Linked DNA regions of Caenorhabditis elegans. The protein of the gene in region 1 purifies or fractionates together with the protein of each later gene. This does not show direct contact. Each region holds a gene or a part of one and is shown in the gene's direction. Other genes may lie near its edges.

Region 1 (3,758 bases):
CCCTCATCGCCTTATCTGCATGAGAAATAAAAATACGCCCAACTAAAAAGTAATTCCACTTGTTTTTGCGTCAGGCTATATTCGTTTTTCTTAAAGTCAGTGTTTATTGATCTTCTTCAATTTGAGAAAATTAGTCTGATGACCTCTATACAAGGATATGTCAATAGAAACTGACATTTGGACTTTGCATAAAATTGAAAAAGAAGCGGCGGGAAGAGATGAAAACAAACTTTAATTCGATGAGACGTTTTCTGAGTTTTCGAGGAAAAAGGTTCCAACATCCTCTACACCTTTCAAATATTCCAAATTATATTTGAACTAGGTGGACACTTTAATTGTAGTTATATTTTCGTTTCCAACATCATTCACTTAAATCCGCTCTTTGAACATTTATTTCTCAATTTCTTCTCCGTGGGAATTTCAAGTGCTTTGGTTTTTTTGTAAATGCCATAAACTCATAGCTAATCCAAAATTGTATTTTATATATGTGTTTTGAGTGTGCTTTGAATAATTCGACCATATGTCAAGTGTTCGTTTTCCTTCCCTCTTCCGGAAATGTTGCCAAAATTTCGAAACTGGACATCTTCTTGTCTATCAAAAATCGAGATACAATCTTGAGTGGCTCTGTTGGGTTTCGTAATTTTCAAATTTGTTGATTTTTCACGAAAAGCGACTTATTTGGGTTTGTTATGTAATTTCATTGCGTTAATTCATAAAAATTTGAGTTTTATTTTTCTGATGATTGCATTGGTTCTGTTTTTCTCACTTTGGCTGGTTCATAGAAATCTATAAAAATGAAACTCAGAACATGTAGAAAAGTAGGCTACGCTTGTAATGTACTCCTATGGTCAACATCTTTCTTTCAACACCTAATAAATCTTTTGCACACATTCTCAGCTGTTCCAGGCCCTAAGGGAACTCAAGACGTGCAATTTCCAAGTTGCTCTCTTCCATACCAAAATGTCTCGTCTAGTTTTTTTTTTCATCATTTGTTCTACTTACATCTTGACTGTCAGTAATTTTGGGCATTTTCTAATTCTCATTCATTTGTTTTTTTTACTTTCTTTGAGTTCCAATTAAGAAACGAGATAGAATAGAAACGAGACAATGAAAAGAAAAAAGTTCGTTTAAAATTCTATTTTGTTCTGAATAACTTCCATGACTTCAGTCAAGGACAATAGCTTGTTTTGAAGGCATTTGAGATTTCTGGACACTTGCGCAATATAACTAAACAGATACGAAGCAATAGTTGAATTCATTTACGTGTCTACACACCTGGTTTATTATGTTTTTGCTGCTTTTGTTTTCTTTTATAGCAGAAGAAAGTTTTCTCCTCAAACTTCAGAGTTTTCACAATTCTCATTAAACATCCTTAAAAGTATTCCGATATTTTCTCACCCTGCAAAAGCAAAAAGATAATCCAATACCCTTCTCTCACTCCATTTCTACGTATTCTTCCGTTCATTCCTCCAATTCAAGTGCCCACTTGATCTTCCTTGAAATTCGAGACTCACGACTTCTCCTTTTAACTAGCACTTTTAACACGTTTCCACATTCTTCTAGTTTAAGATTTTTCAGAGTAACCACGGAATGCCATTAATTATGTACAAATTTCTATTAGTCACTTCAATATTCTTAATCGTTTCCGGGCTAATATTAACTGCGTTCTCGTTGTTTAGTCCTCTTTGGGAAGTAAGTTTCTAGTCAATAAAATTCTGGTTTTTTTTAAATGTCAATTTTGTAGGTAGTTGATTTTCCTCGTTCTCATTTATCACATCATCACGGTCTTTGGTGGGATTGTATTGTACATCATGAAACTTTAATTCCGTTACATGAAGATCAAGCAGAACTTCGAGGTACCTTTTTTCTGCTTTTGTTTTCTAAATAAAACAAGTTTAAGGTGATCGATGTGATAGTAAGATGGATTCTTCGGTTCAAGCATCATTAAGAGTTGCTCTTGAAAAAGGAGATGAAGAGGCCAGAGAGCTTTTGTTACATCGGTTTCTACGTAAGTTAACAATATTTTAATGCTTTTCATGTGCCGAAACTTACTTTTTTCTTTGTTAGAAAGATAAACTAGAAACTATATAAAACTGATTTACCAAATGCAGGTTCAAGTTATTTTTTAAAATAATTAGAGTGTGAGCGTAGTAGTTCAATAATTTGTTGATCAATTTTCTCTTTCTGGATACAGAAGCGTATTGGCATTGCAACGTACATACACATGTTTGGTTCCATGCTATTAATTCAATTGATTTTCTGTCTTAAATTCTAGGACTGTAATGCTATTTTTTGTAATTTAGTATTTTCTGATCTAGAATATGCGGTAACAATAAATTAGATTTTACTGTCCAAACACAAAATTACTGAAGATACAAGTTGATTTTATATTCTTCATGAAACCAAAAAAAAATTAATTTCAGCTCATCACAAAGGTGTAATTTTCTTCGCAGTTTTCACTTTTGTTTTCGGACTAATCTCCATCCTGATTGGCTCCTGTTCTCCATGTTTTCCACCAAATGCACTACTTTATGTAGTTGGTGTCTTTATGACCGGAGCATGTTCTTTATTAGCAGATATTATCTACATATTTGCTTTTAATCAGAAACCAATTTTTACAAAAGAACAATCTGAGCCACACCAAGAAGTTTTATCGAGAAGAGAACGAGGATCCATTGGACCCATTTATGTAAAAATTCGAAAAAAAATTGATGTCATCTTTTTATTTTTTTTTTCAAATTCCAGAAGCGTCTTGGCATTGCAACGTACATGCATATGTTTGGTTCCATGCTATTAATTGCTGCATTCATCTTTTCAATTTTTTGTGCCTACTTCCTCATCACTTCAAAACATGCACACGACGTTTGTTGCACAAGTCGAAAAGAGTACAGAGAGCAGACAAAGTAAGTTTAATCTGATTTGCGGATTTTTCTAAACATGTAACTTTCGTCTAATAAAACAACTTTCAAGAGTAAAATAAAGGTTTTCAGATGGAAAAACAATGGGCTAATTCTAAAAACTGGAAGAGTAAATCATCAATCACATCGGCCATTTGTAGTGATTGACGATGACAGCAGTATGTGAACTGATATGCTCTCAATTTAAAAATTCTGTGATTTGATCTCTTTATTTTGAAATACGGGTTTTTAACAATTTGATCTTAATAATGAATGTAAATAATGTTCAATTAATAAATGTAAAACAAGAAGTTTCAAAATCAAATTGGAATTTTAAAAATAATTTGTGTCTTTCCATACACTCGCATTTTCATAACTTAGTTTGTCAAAGATCGTACTTGGAGAATCGTTGCTTTAGGTTTTATACCAAACAATATCAAAATTTCTTTTCTCATCTGAAAATCAGGATATAACATTCTTGAGACTATATTTCAACCCTCACAGTTTTACTAAAACAAATCAACAGCCAAGGTTGCACCAAAGATAAACCGTCACTAACAAATGGTAGAACCATTGTAAGATATGATAACATAGAACAATAGTTGCACTTCAATAAAGCAATAGAAATTATTGTTCCAATAAGTTGGACTAAACATGTTATAGACATTATGAGTAAAAAGTTTGTTTCCGCTTTTTTTCTTTGAATATTCAGATTTCGTAAAAATATGACACTTGTAGTATTGGAAAGAATTGAAATTGCCATACAAATGCACATAAATGGAATTAATACATTGTAAATTTCTATGAATGGCTGAAACCTCAATCAAGTTATTTATTTATTTATTTTTATTTTTTTTTGTT
Region 2 (4,714 bases), 5.9 Mb from region 1:
GGGTTGTTAGGACAATGCAATTGTTGTGCTTGAACCAGAAGTATAGTATTCTCTTTCACACCTACAGCGAATCTGATATCAATTGGAACAGAACGGAGTCCGGTCACAGTGATGTCGACCAAATAATATATCTCATTAATTTCTACAATACGTTTGACATCAAAATCAAAAGTTCTGTCGGCTGGTCGGTTGACAAGGCGTTGGACGATTTCGTCTAAAGAATAAAAAACCACTCATCAGTCTCATAACAAATCTGAATTACCTTTTGAGAATTTTCTTTCGCACGCTACAAAGATATATTTGTCATCTATGAATGCGCTAATTGTGGTGGCATCTCTTGATCGAATTGCTATCAATAGTGAATCCAGGAAAATGTTTATTACACTCTTTCTCTGATCAACCTGACTGACGGCGTTTTGGCAGTTAAATTGTTTCGCATTAGTCAAGAGAGCACTATTTCCCAAAATCTCTACATCAAAGGCAATATCAATTGGTACAGATCGGAGCCCGGTTACAGTGATGAGGACGGTAAAATGTCCCGCATTTTGTTTATAAGCTGTAACAATGAACTCGACATTTCTGTCTGCTGGGAGGTTGACAATACGTTCGATGATTTCGTCTGAAATATAGGAGAATGTTCAAAAGTTATATAGATACAAGGTGGATCATGATTTTGTGAGATCGTCATTCGCTAGGAATTCTCGATAGTTTACTCGTGCAATCCGAATTAAGATCGTATTCCTTGTAAAAACTAACTTTGGATAATGGCAAACATGTTTGGAACACGACTTATGTTAAAATTTACGAGACAACATTTTGTGCCTAAAACTAGGGCTCCCGCAAAGGCGCCTCCGCCGGCCTCAGCTGTCGCCGCGCCGGCCTCACGGCGTCATCCACGCCGCATGTACAATGAGGTGCGTAACCGCGAACGTCAGAACTGGTCAATTTTCTTTTAATTCAATCAGAAACTCAGAAAAATCCAAATTACGAGCAGTATGTAGTCTACTGGTAAACTAGCCTTTTCTTTCGAAATTTATACGCTCGGGCTGGAAAGAGCCTCTCATAATGGGCAGAAGCCCTGGCAAGAGGAACTTTTGACAACTTGTAAAGTAAGGGCGCTATAAGGTCATAAGCTGAATGTACCCTAATGTATAGTGCGACGCGGAACCCCGAACGTGTCGGCCGCTTCAAATAACTACCTCTCGCACATCATTTCACGCACACTGCGGCGCGCGGCTTCAGCGCGCGGCTTCGGCGCAAGGCCGGCGGGCGTGAAGCCGGCGTGAGGCCCGCATTTCGCGCCTCACTCAGCTGGGAGCCCTACCTAAAACTGAGTTTTATAACAACACATGGTGTCATTCTGTACCATTACAGGTTGATCTAAAAAAAATGAGAGAATGTTTTAAATCATGCAAAATTTGTTAAGAATTCTGACTCTGAATTTCCGCAAATCCTGGAAAATCTAAGTAGATCAAATCGAAAAGGGACACTCTGGCATTAAATGTAACATAAAGCATGTAGAAACAAAGGTGTATTACTTCGTCGACATCACTGTCACCGGACTCCGCTCTGTTCCAGTTGATATGAGATTTGTTGTAGATGTGACAGGGAATAGTACACTCTTGGCTTTTGCACAACAATTGAACTGTCAAAACAACCCCAATCTGGTAGATAAGACCAAAAATCTGTTTGATTTCCTGGACTCGCTGTTGGCAGCAATGCGATCAAGATCAGCATCTGCCATTGGCGCCCTGATTTCTGATTCATATGTATTCAAAGCATGCGAGAGAAAGTTTTCAAAGGGTAAGTGAAATAAAAGAGCACTGTAAAAGTCAGAATAATGCGGACTCGTTGAATGATTTGAATTGAATTGATAGTTCAATTAAGTTCCTTCCATTTACTTTAACATAAACCGTATCCCGCTGTTAAACTACTATAGATCCTTGTCAAATCAACTTTCTTACGACTTTTGGCGACTTGCATTTTTTGAGCCTTCAGGCTTACAACCCTGGGTTTTTACACAGATTTCTATACACTTAGCTTAGGTGAAATTATTTAGTGCAACTGGGGACACAGTTAGAGTAACCCTTGGACAAATACATGCTTTATGTTACATTTAATGCCAGAGTGTCCCTTTTCGATTTGATCTACTTAGATTTTCCAGGATTTGCGGAAATTCAGAGTCAGAATTCTTAACAAATTTTGCATGATTTAAAACATTCTCTCATTTTTTTTAGATCAACCTGTAATGGTACAGAATGACACCATGTGTTGTTATAAAACTCAGTTTTAGGTAGGGCTCCCAGCTGAGTGAGGCGCGAAATGCGGGCCTCACGCAGGCTTCACGCCCGCCGGCCTTGCGCCGAAGCCGCGCGCTGAAGCCGCGCGCCGCAGTGTGCGTGAAATGATGTGCGAGAGGTAGTTATTTGAAGCGGCCGACACGTTCGGGGTTCCGCGTCGCACTATACATTAGGGTACATTCAGCTTATGACCTTATAGCGCCCTTACTTTACAAGTTGTCAAAAGTTCCTCTTGCCAGGGCTTCTGCCCATTATGAGAGGCTCTTTCCAGCCCGAGCGTATAAATTTCGAAAGAAAAGGCTAGTTTACCAGTAGACTACATACTGCTCGTAATTTGGATTTTTCTGAGTTTCTGATTGAATTAAAAGAAAATTGACCAGTTCTGACGTTCGCGGTTACGCACCTCATTGTACATGCGGCGTGGATGACGCCGTGAGGCCGGCGCGGCGACAGCTGAGGCCGGCGGAGGCGCCTTTGCGGGAGCCCTAGTTTTAGGCACAAAATGTTGTCTCGTAAATTTTAACATAAGTCGTGTTCCAAACATGTTTGCCATTATCCAAAGTTAGTTTTTACAAGGAATACGATCTTAATTCGGATTGCACGAGTAAACTATCGAGAATTCCTAGCGAATGACGATCTCACAAAATCATGATCCACCTTGTATCTATATAACTTTTGAACATTCTCCTATATTTCAGACGAAATCATCGAACGTATTGTCAACCTCCCAGCAGACAGAAATGTCGAGTTCATTGTTACAGCTTATAAACAAAATGCGGGACATTTTACCGTCCTCATCACTGTAACCGGGCTCCGATCTGTACCAATTGATATTGCCTTTGATGTAGAGATTTTGGGAAATAGTGCTCTCTTGACTAATGCGAAACAATTTAACTGCCAAAACGCCGTCAGTCAGGTTGATCAGAGAAAGAGTGTAATAAACATTTTCCTGGATTCACTATTGATAGCAATTCGATCAAGAGATGCCACCACAATTAGCGCATTCATAGATGACAAATATATCTTTGTAGCGTGCGAAAGAAAATTCTCAAAAGGTAATTCAGATTTGTTATGAGACTGATGAGTGGTTTTTTATTCTTTAGACGAAATCGTCCAACGCCTTGTCAACCGACCAGCCGACAGAACTTTTGATTTTGATGTCAAACGTATTGTAGAAATTAATGAGATATATTATTTGGTCGACATCACTGTGACCGGACTCCGATCTGTACAAATTGATATTGCATTTGATGTAAAGGTCAAAGGGAACAGTGCTCTCTTGACTCATGCAAAACAATTCAACTGCCAAAACGCAGTCAGTCAGGTCACTCAGACAAAAAGTGTGATTAATGATTTCCTGGATCAACTATTGGAAGCAATTCATTCAAGATCTCCATCCGCAATTGGCGATCTGATATATGACAAGTATATCTTTGAAGCGTGCGATAGAACATTCTCAAAGGGTAATTCAGATTGGTTATGGAACTAATGAATAGTTTCTTATTTTTCAGAAGAAATAATTCAACGTCTTGTCAACCGACCAGCCGACAGGGAAGTGGAGTTCGATGTCATTGAAGTCATAGAATTACCTGAGTATTATCTGGTCGACATCACTGTGACCGGGCTGCGTTCTGTACCAATTGATATTCGATTCGGTGTAGCGGTGGCCGGGAATGGTGGACTTCTGATTCATGCGAAGCAGTTTCACTGTCAAAAAAGCGTCGGTCAAGTTGATCAGAAAAGACAAGTATTGCTAGTTTTCCTGGATTCGCTATTGGAAGCAGTTCGATCCAGATCTGCAACCGCAATGGGTGCCCTGATGAGTGATTCATATTACTACAATGCTTGTGAAAGAATGTTCACAAAAGGTAGGTCAAGTTAGTCAAGTATGACCTGTCGTTCGGCAAATCGGCAATTTGCCGTCTTATTCGTTTGTGTGAAACACATCGAAAAAAGTGAAAAGCTGCCTGGCCTAGCTCCCTTCCGAATCCTGAGCAAGAGAAAATTTAATGCTTACATTGTTAAGCTTGGAGCACGAACGGATCAAAATCAAACGACGAGCACTAGGAGTTGATGGAGCAGACAGCGAGACTTCAGGTGTGGAACTTGAATCGAGTACTGATTTAGCGATTGATTGATGGAGACATGGCTGAGGGGGGAGGTCGATGTCACGTGAGAATTTTTAAATCTTAAAGAGAATAAACAAAAATTAATGATTTTGTCATGAAAGGTCAAACACGTTTCTGTTGTTGGCAGCAATATGAGAAAAAATAATCAAGCTGCAGAGTTGGTCGTTCTGGTCCTGGCGATGATGTGCTGTCGTTTCGGTTGGTCTTCCTGGCAATTTTTGCATTGAGATTATTGATCGGGCAAAATTTGGCATTTTAGCTAAAATCAGTACAATTTTTCGAAAT
Region 3 (4,620 bases), on another chromosome or scaffold:
CAAAATTTAAGACCACTTTAACGTATTTTCCTAGTGATTATTTTACTGGGGACCGTGTTAAATATTTTTAGTCTAATTTTTACCCTAACACTTACTATGAGCAGTTCAAATTGTAGCCAGATGTCTATTTAACAAATCTGCATAGTTTCAGAAAACAGCTAGTTTTCAACTGGCAGATATTACCTAGAACACGTTCCATATTTTAAGTCATTATTTGTAAAAACAGTTCAGTGAATAACGTCCAGTTGGTAGGCTGTGTTGCAAATTCTGTCAACTTCATAATTTTGAGAAAATTAATTTTAAAAAACTAAAAAAAACAAAGCTAAAACGTTTTAAAAATGTCACGTTTCACGCTAAGGAACATGTTTTCTCGAATTTACGTTAGAAAATCCACATTTAGAAAAACACGTAAAAATTTTTTTTCATTTCACAGTCACTCAGTCAAGCGGACAACAAGGATCTGGAGCCGGAAAACAGACGATAAGTAGGCAGGTAGGTAAGTAGGTATGCTAGGGCTATTATACAACAAAATGGAAATAGTATTAGATGGAAACAATGTTTGCGTTTGAACACTAAATCTATTGGAAAAAGAAAATAATAATGGATAATTTTTGAAGTGACAGAGCATTGGTAAGACGTGCACGAAAACAAAATTGATAATGACCAGATTGGATTTACCAACTTATTAGATAGGGGAAAAGAATCCCTAGTAAAAATTCACTAGGAAAGACGTTAAAGTAGTCTTGGATTTTGTTGCGACGTCGATCGTAAAAAATTTTGATCTACACTTATTGATCTGGCCGCGTAAAGTCGTATTTGTGCCATTCTCGCTTGAAAGGCTGTGAAAGGCAAGAATTCAACCTTTTTCAACCTTTATTGGCATTTTGTATTTTCCCCATTTTGCCCCTCTACGATCATAAAATAACGTTTTTGTCTAGACCAATGGTATAGTAGTAGCATATTCACACGACGTTAAACGGAATAGAGTTTGTGGGTGTTTCACTTAAATAGATTGAAAAAATGGTCCAAAACATAATTAATGTGACTTCTCAAAAACTTCCAAAAATGTTCTAGAGCTTAGAAATTTTTGAGAAGCCTCATTATGAAATTCGGTGGTTTTAATTCAGTTTTAGTCTTTTGAGCAAAATATCTACAAATTCTGTTCTTTTTTTAAAGTAGTCTTGGACTTTGAAACGAGACCTCTGTTAAAATAGATTTCAAAATCGATTTTTGGTGAGCCCATTCAGCATAAATGCGCCCTCATTTAAAGTCGTAGTAGTAAAATAAATACGTGTATAAAAGTATAAAAGCATAAATAAATCTTAAAATTATTCGGAATTTCAGCTAAATTCCCAATCATTAGTTTGAGTTTAGCTTTACTTTTACTTCTAGACACATAACTAGCATGATTTTTTCTTTCCTTGTTTTAGTGACATCGCGGGCACTCCTCGAAACTAGGTCCGCAGAGTGAGCGTCGGTGTTTGCGGACACAGTCACCCTCTCTCCCACCTCTACACACTCACACCTTTGATTCATTCAAACAGTGCCCCCTCCCCCCGTGAGCAATCGTTTTAATGATATTTTGCAGCTGAAAAATGAACGCAAACGTAACTGTCGACGATGCCATAAGCAATGTGAATGTGAGTTTTTAAAATAAAAAAAAGCAAACATACCAGATGTTTTGCAGCTTCTCGACACCCTCGCCATACCCGATGATTTACCCGATATTGAGGCGAGAGCTCTTCCCTTGCTCTATAGGTTTGTAGCGAAACTGAAAGAAGAAAACAAATTCAAAAATTATTTTCAGATCAAACTTCGACACAAACTTCGAAGATCGTAGTGCATTTGTGACGGGAATTGCCAAGTACAGTGAGGAAGCCACCAGGCATGCACAATTTGTGAGTTAATCGATAAAGTGTGGACAGGAAATTAGTCAACAGAAAATTATTACAGAATGACATGCTTTCTGAAGGATTGCAACATGCTGCAAATATGTACACTTGGAGATGTTGTTCGAGAGCAGTTCCAATGGCAAAGTCGAATGATCAGCCGAATCGAACGGAAATCAATGAGATGGTTGTGGAAGTTTTGAAGCCAGAAGTCAGCAAGCTCGGCAGTTTTATGCGATTTACGGTAGGTTAAATTAATTCCAAATTTGGAGTTTAAAATGACAAAAAATAATCGAAAATATTGAAACTTCAGACATTTTCGCATATGAAATTTGAAATTTATTTACCAAGCATTTTTACACAAAAAAAAAAGTTGGAAAATATGATTATTTCATACATTTCACCTGGACAGTTCGGAACTTCATTTATAGGAAATTTGAAATTCCAAGCATTTTTACACGAAAAATTAAATAATTTTACCAATTTTCAACTGAAAACTTCCATATAGGCAGACTTTTTTATACCGAAAATTGGTAAATACTTTTTTACCATAGTAGATAGTTTTTATTTTTACTATAACAACCAATTCCTGAAAAAGTTTTTAAAAAATCCTGGCTAAAAAACTTTTAAAAAGTATATTTTAATAACGATCTTCAATATATATATCAAAGTTTTGGCAAAATGCCAAAATAATATTTTGAAAGTGTCTCACATTTTTGAGTAGAAACATAATTAGAATATAGAATATTTGACCGTTTTCCAAAAACATTATCTTTAATTAGAAAGTATTTTCGAACTATTTTGACCTTCCGAAGTGTTATATCCAGAACAGGGCTGGGACTTTTTCGTTTTCGCGTTTTCGTTTTTTCGTTATTTTCGGGGTTTTGACGAAAATGTTCGAAAAACGAAAATAAAACGACTTTATTTAATTCTGGTATTTTTTCCACTTTCTTTCGAACTTTCGCCGAAATTTTGCTCTCCGGTGTGGATAGTATTGAAAAATCAATTATTTTCTTCTAAGACTCAGTACTGAAGATTAACTTTAAAAACAAAAAAGGCAACAGTTTTCAGTTTTGGATAACAATTAAAATACTCTTTTGCGTAACAATAGATTCATTCATTTTAAGACAGGACGTTTCTTTGTTTTGAGCTCCAATGTTGGGCTATCTTATTGAATGCACCGAATTTGGCTAAAAATTCATTCAAGCAACAAGTAAAACATATTTCCACAGTATCTAATAAATTTTTGATGATTTTTGAAAAATTAAAGCTTGTTGTTTCTTCAATTCAAAAGTTCAAAACACAATTTCAGATGAAAAATAGAGTTACAGTAGAATCCTTATGTTCGAAAAGGGCTTCAAGTTCTATGGCCTATAAGCACTAATAGAGAATATACGGTAGTTTGTGAAAAGTTTTCGAATAAAAATTTTGAAAAATACGAGCTTTTGAGAAAATTTAAAGAAATGTCGCATATTTCGACCCCTACGAATTTAAACAAAATTAAAACATAAAAAATGTCGAAAAAGAAATTTTTTTGGTCGACTTCCAAAACAGGGGTGTGCGGCAAATCTCAAAATTTGCCGAGCTCGGCAAATTCGGCAAATTCGGCAAATTTGCCGAGCTCGGCAAACGGCAAATTCGGCAAATTTGCCGAGCTCGGCAAACGGCAAATTCGGCAAATTGGCCGAGCTCGGCAAACGGCAAATTCGGCAAATTTGGCAAATTTGCCGAGCTCGGCAAACGGCAAATTCGGCAAATTTGCCGAGCTCGGCAAACGGCAAATTCGGCAAATTCGGCAAATTTGCCGAGCTCGGCAAACGGCAAATTCGGCAAATTCGGCAAATTTGCTGCACACCCCTGTTCCAAAATTATGAGTGGCAAAAACTGAGTAATTGCCACTTTTTGACAGTAAATAAAAATTGTTCAAAAAATTTTTGAAAAGTTTTATCATGATATTTGGTCATTATGGGACTAAAGGAGTGGGTTTTAACAATTTACCCACTGGCACTACTCCACCTTTAATGAGCAAAGTACGTCAATGAGAGAGAGGTAAATGAGTACTTGCCACCAAAAAAGCTTTCGAGGCAACATATGGCCTAAAAACTGTAAGTCCAGTTGTAGATTTGAAACAGTGCTATTTTCGTGTTCGTTTTTGTTTTCGTGTTTTAAAACGAACATTTTCGTTTTCGGTTTCGAAAATGAGATTTCGAAAAAGTCCCAGCCCTGATCCAGAAGCCTCTTTTTACAACCACATTTGCCAATTTGAGATGCAATCGCCTAGTTACAGTGGTGACCGAAATAAAATATGCGTTTTATAACTCACAAACTAGGAACTTTGAAAAGAAAATTTCAAATAACAAACTGGTGCCTAAAATGTCTTCTACATGCTGAAAATGTTTCATGATCCAAAAATATTGAAGGACAAAAGATACAGCGGCCAACACGTCGCAGGTTCATTTTTGGCCTTTTCACTTGAAACGCCTATAACTCAAGAATGATGAGTTTTCATGAAGAAGCTTTGGTGGTGAAATAGTTTGCAACTCATTTTCTATTGAATTTATTTTTTTTAAACCAGCAACATAGAGCTGAAAATTAACGCATACGTTTTTCAACCCACTGCTTACTCGGCTTTTTGAAAATCTGGTCATATTGCACAAAACAATATTTGAGCATATATTTTTAATAACGAATGTTGTAGTTACATTTTGTTTAGATTTGAACTGAAAAACTG

Evidence for each region. Proteins that work in one complex are often made in the same cells at the same time.
Region 2: the proteins of hpo-30 (region 1) and F16H6.8 fractionate together in Caenorhabditis elegans (co-fractionation; one large-scale study listed by BioGRID). This does not show direct contact.
Region 3: the proteins of hpo-30 (region 1) and gex-2 purify together in Caenorhabditis elegans (co-purification; one study listed by BioGRID). This does not show direct contact.

The regions. Positions count from the first base shown.
Region 1 is NC_003283.11:12,308,175-12,311,932, reverse strand, and holds hpo-30 (Clc-like protein), read left to right. Parts: upstream 1-1,576; 5' UTR 1,577-1,590; coding exon 1,591-1,692; intron 1,693-1,744; coding exon 1,745-1,856; intron 1,857-1,900; coding exon 1,901-2,008; intron 2,009-2,423; coding exon 2,424-2,689; intron 2,690-2,745; coding exon 2,746-2,903; intron 2,904-2,990; coding exon 2,991-3,084; 3' UTR 3,085-3,208; downstream 3,209-3,758. Other genes in the region: srg-45 (Serpentine receptor class gamma), read right to left, coding at 3,275-3,352, 3,400-3,708.
Region 2 is NC_003283.11:18,213,145-18,217,858, reverse strand, and holds F16H6.8 (Mediator of RNA polymerase II transcription subunit 1), read left to right. Parts: upstream 1-1,583; coding exon 1,584-1,803; intron 1,804-2,998; coding exon 2,999-3,355; intron 3,356-3,403; coding exon 3,404-3,763; intron 3,764-3,811; coding exon 3,812-4,182; downstream 4,183-4,714. Other genes in the region: F16H6.9 (BPI2 domain-containing protein), read right to left, coding at 1-214, 263-619, 757-775.
Region 3 is NC_003282.8:571,181-575,800, forward strand, and holds the start of gex-2 (Cytoplasmic FMR1-interacting protein homolog), read left to right. Parts: upstream 1-1,588; 5' UTR 1,589-1,595; coding exon 1,596-1,640; intron 1,641-1,687; coding exon 1,688-1,758; intron 1,759-1,807; coding exon 1,808-1,898; intron 1,899-1,953; coding exon 1,954-2,133; intron 2,134-4,620. UniProt on the Caenorhabditis elegans protein: Required for initial steps of body morphogenesis. May play a role in egg laying and yolk protein clatherin-mediated endocytosis by oocytes during oogenesis.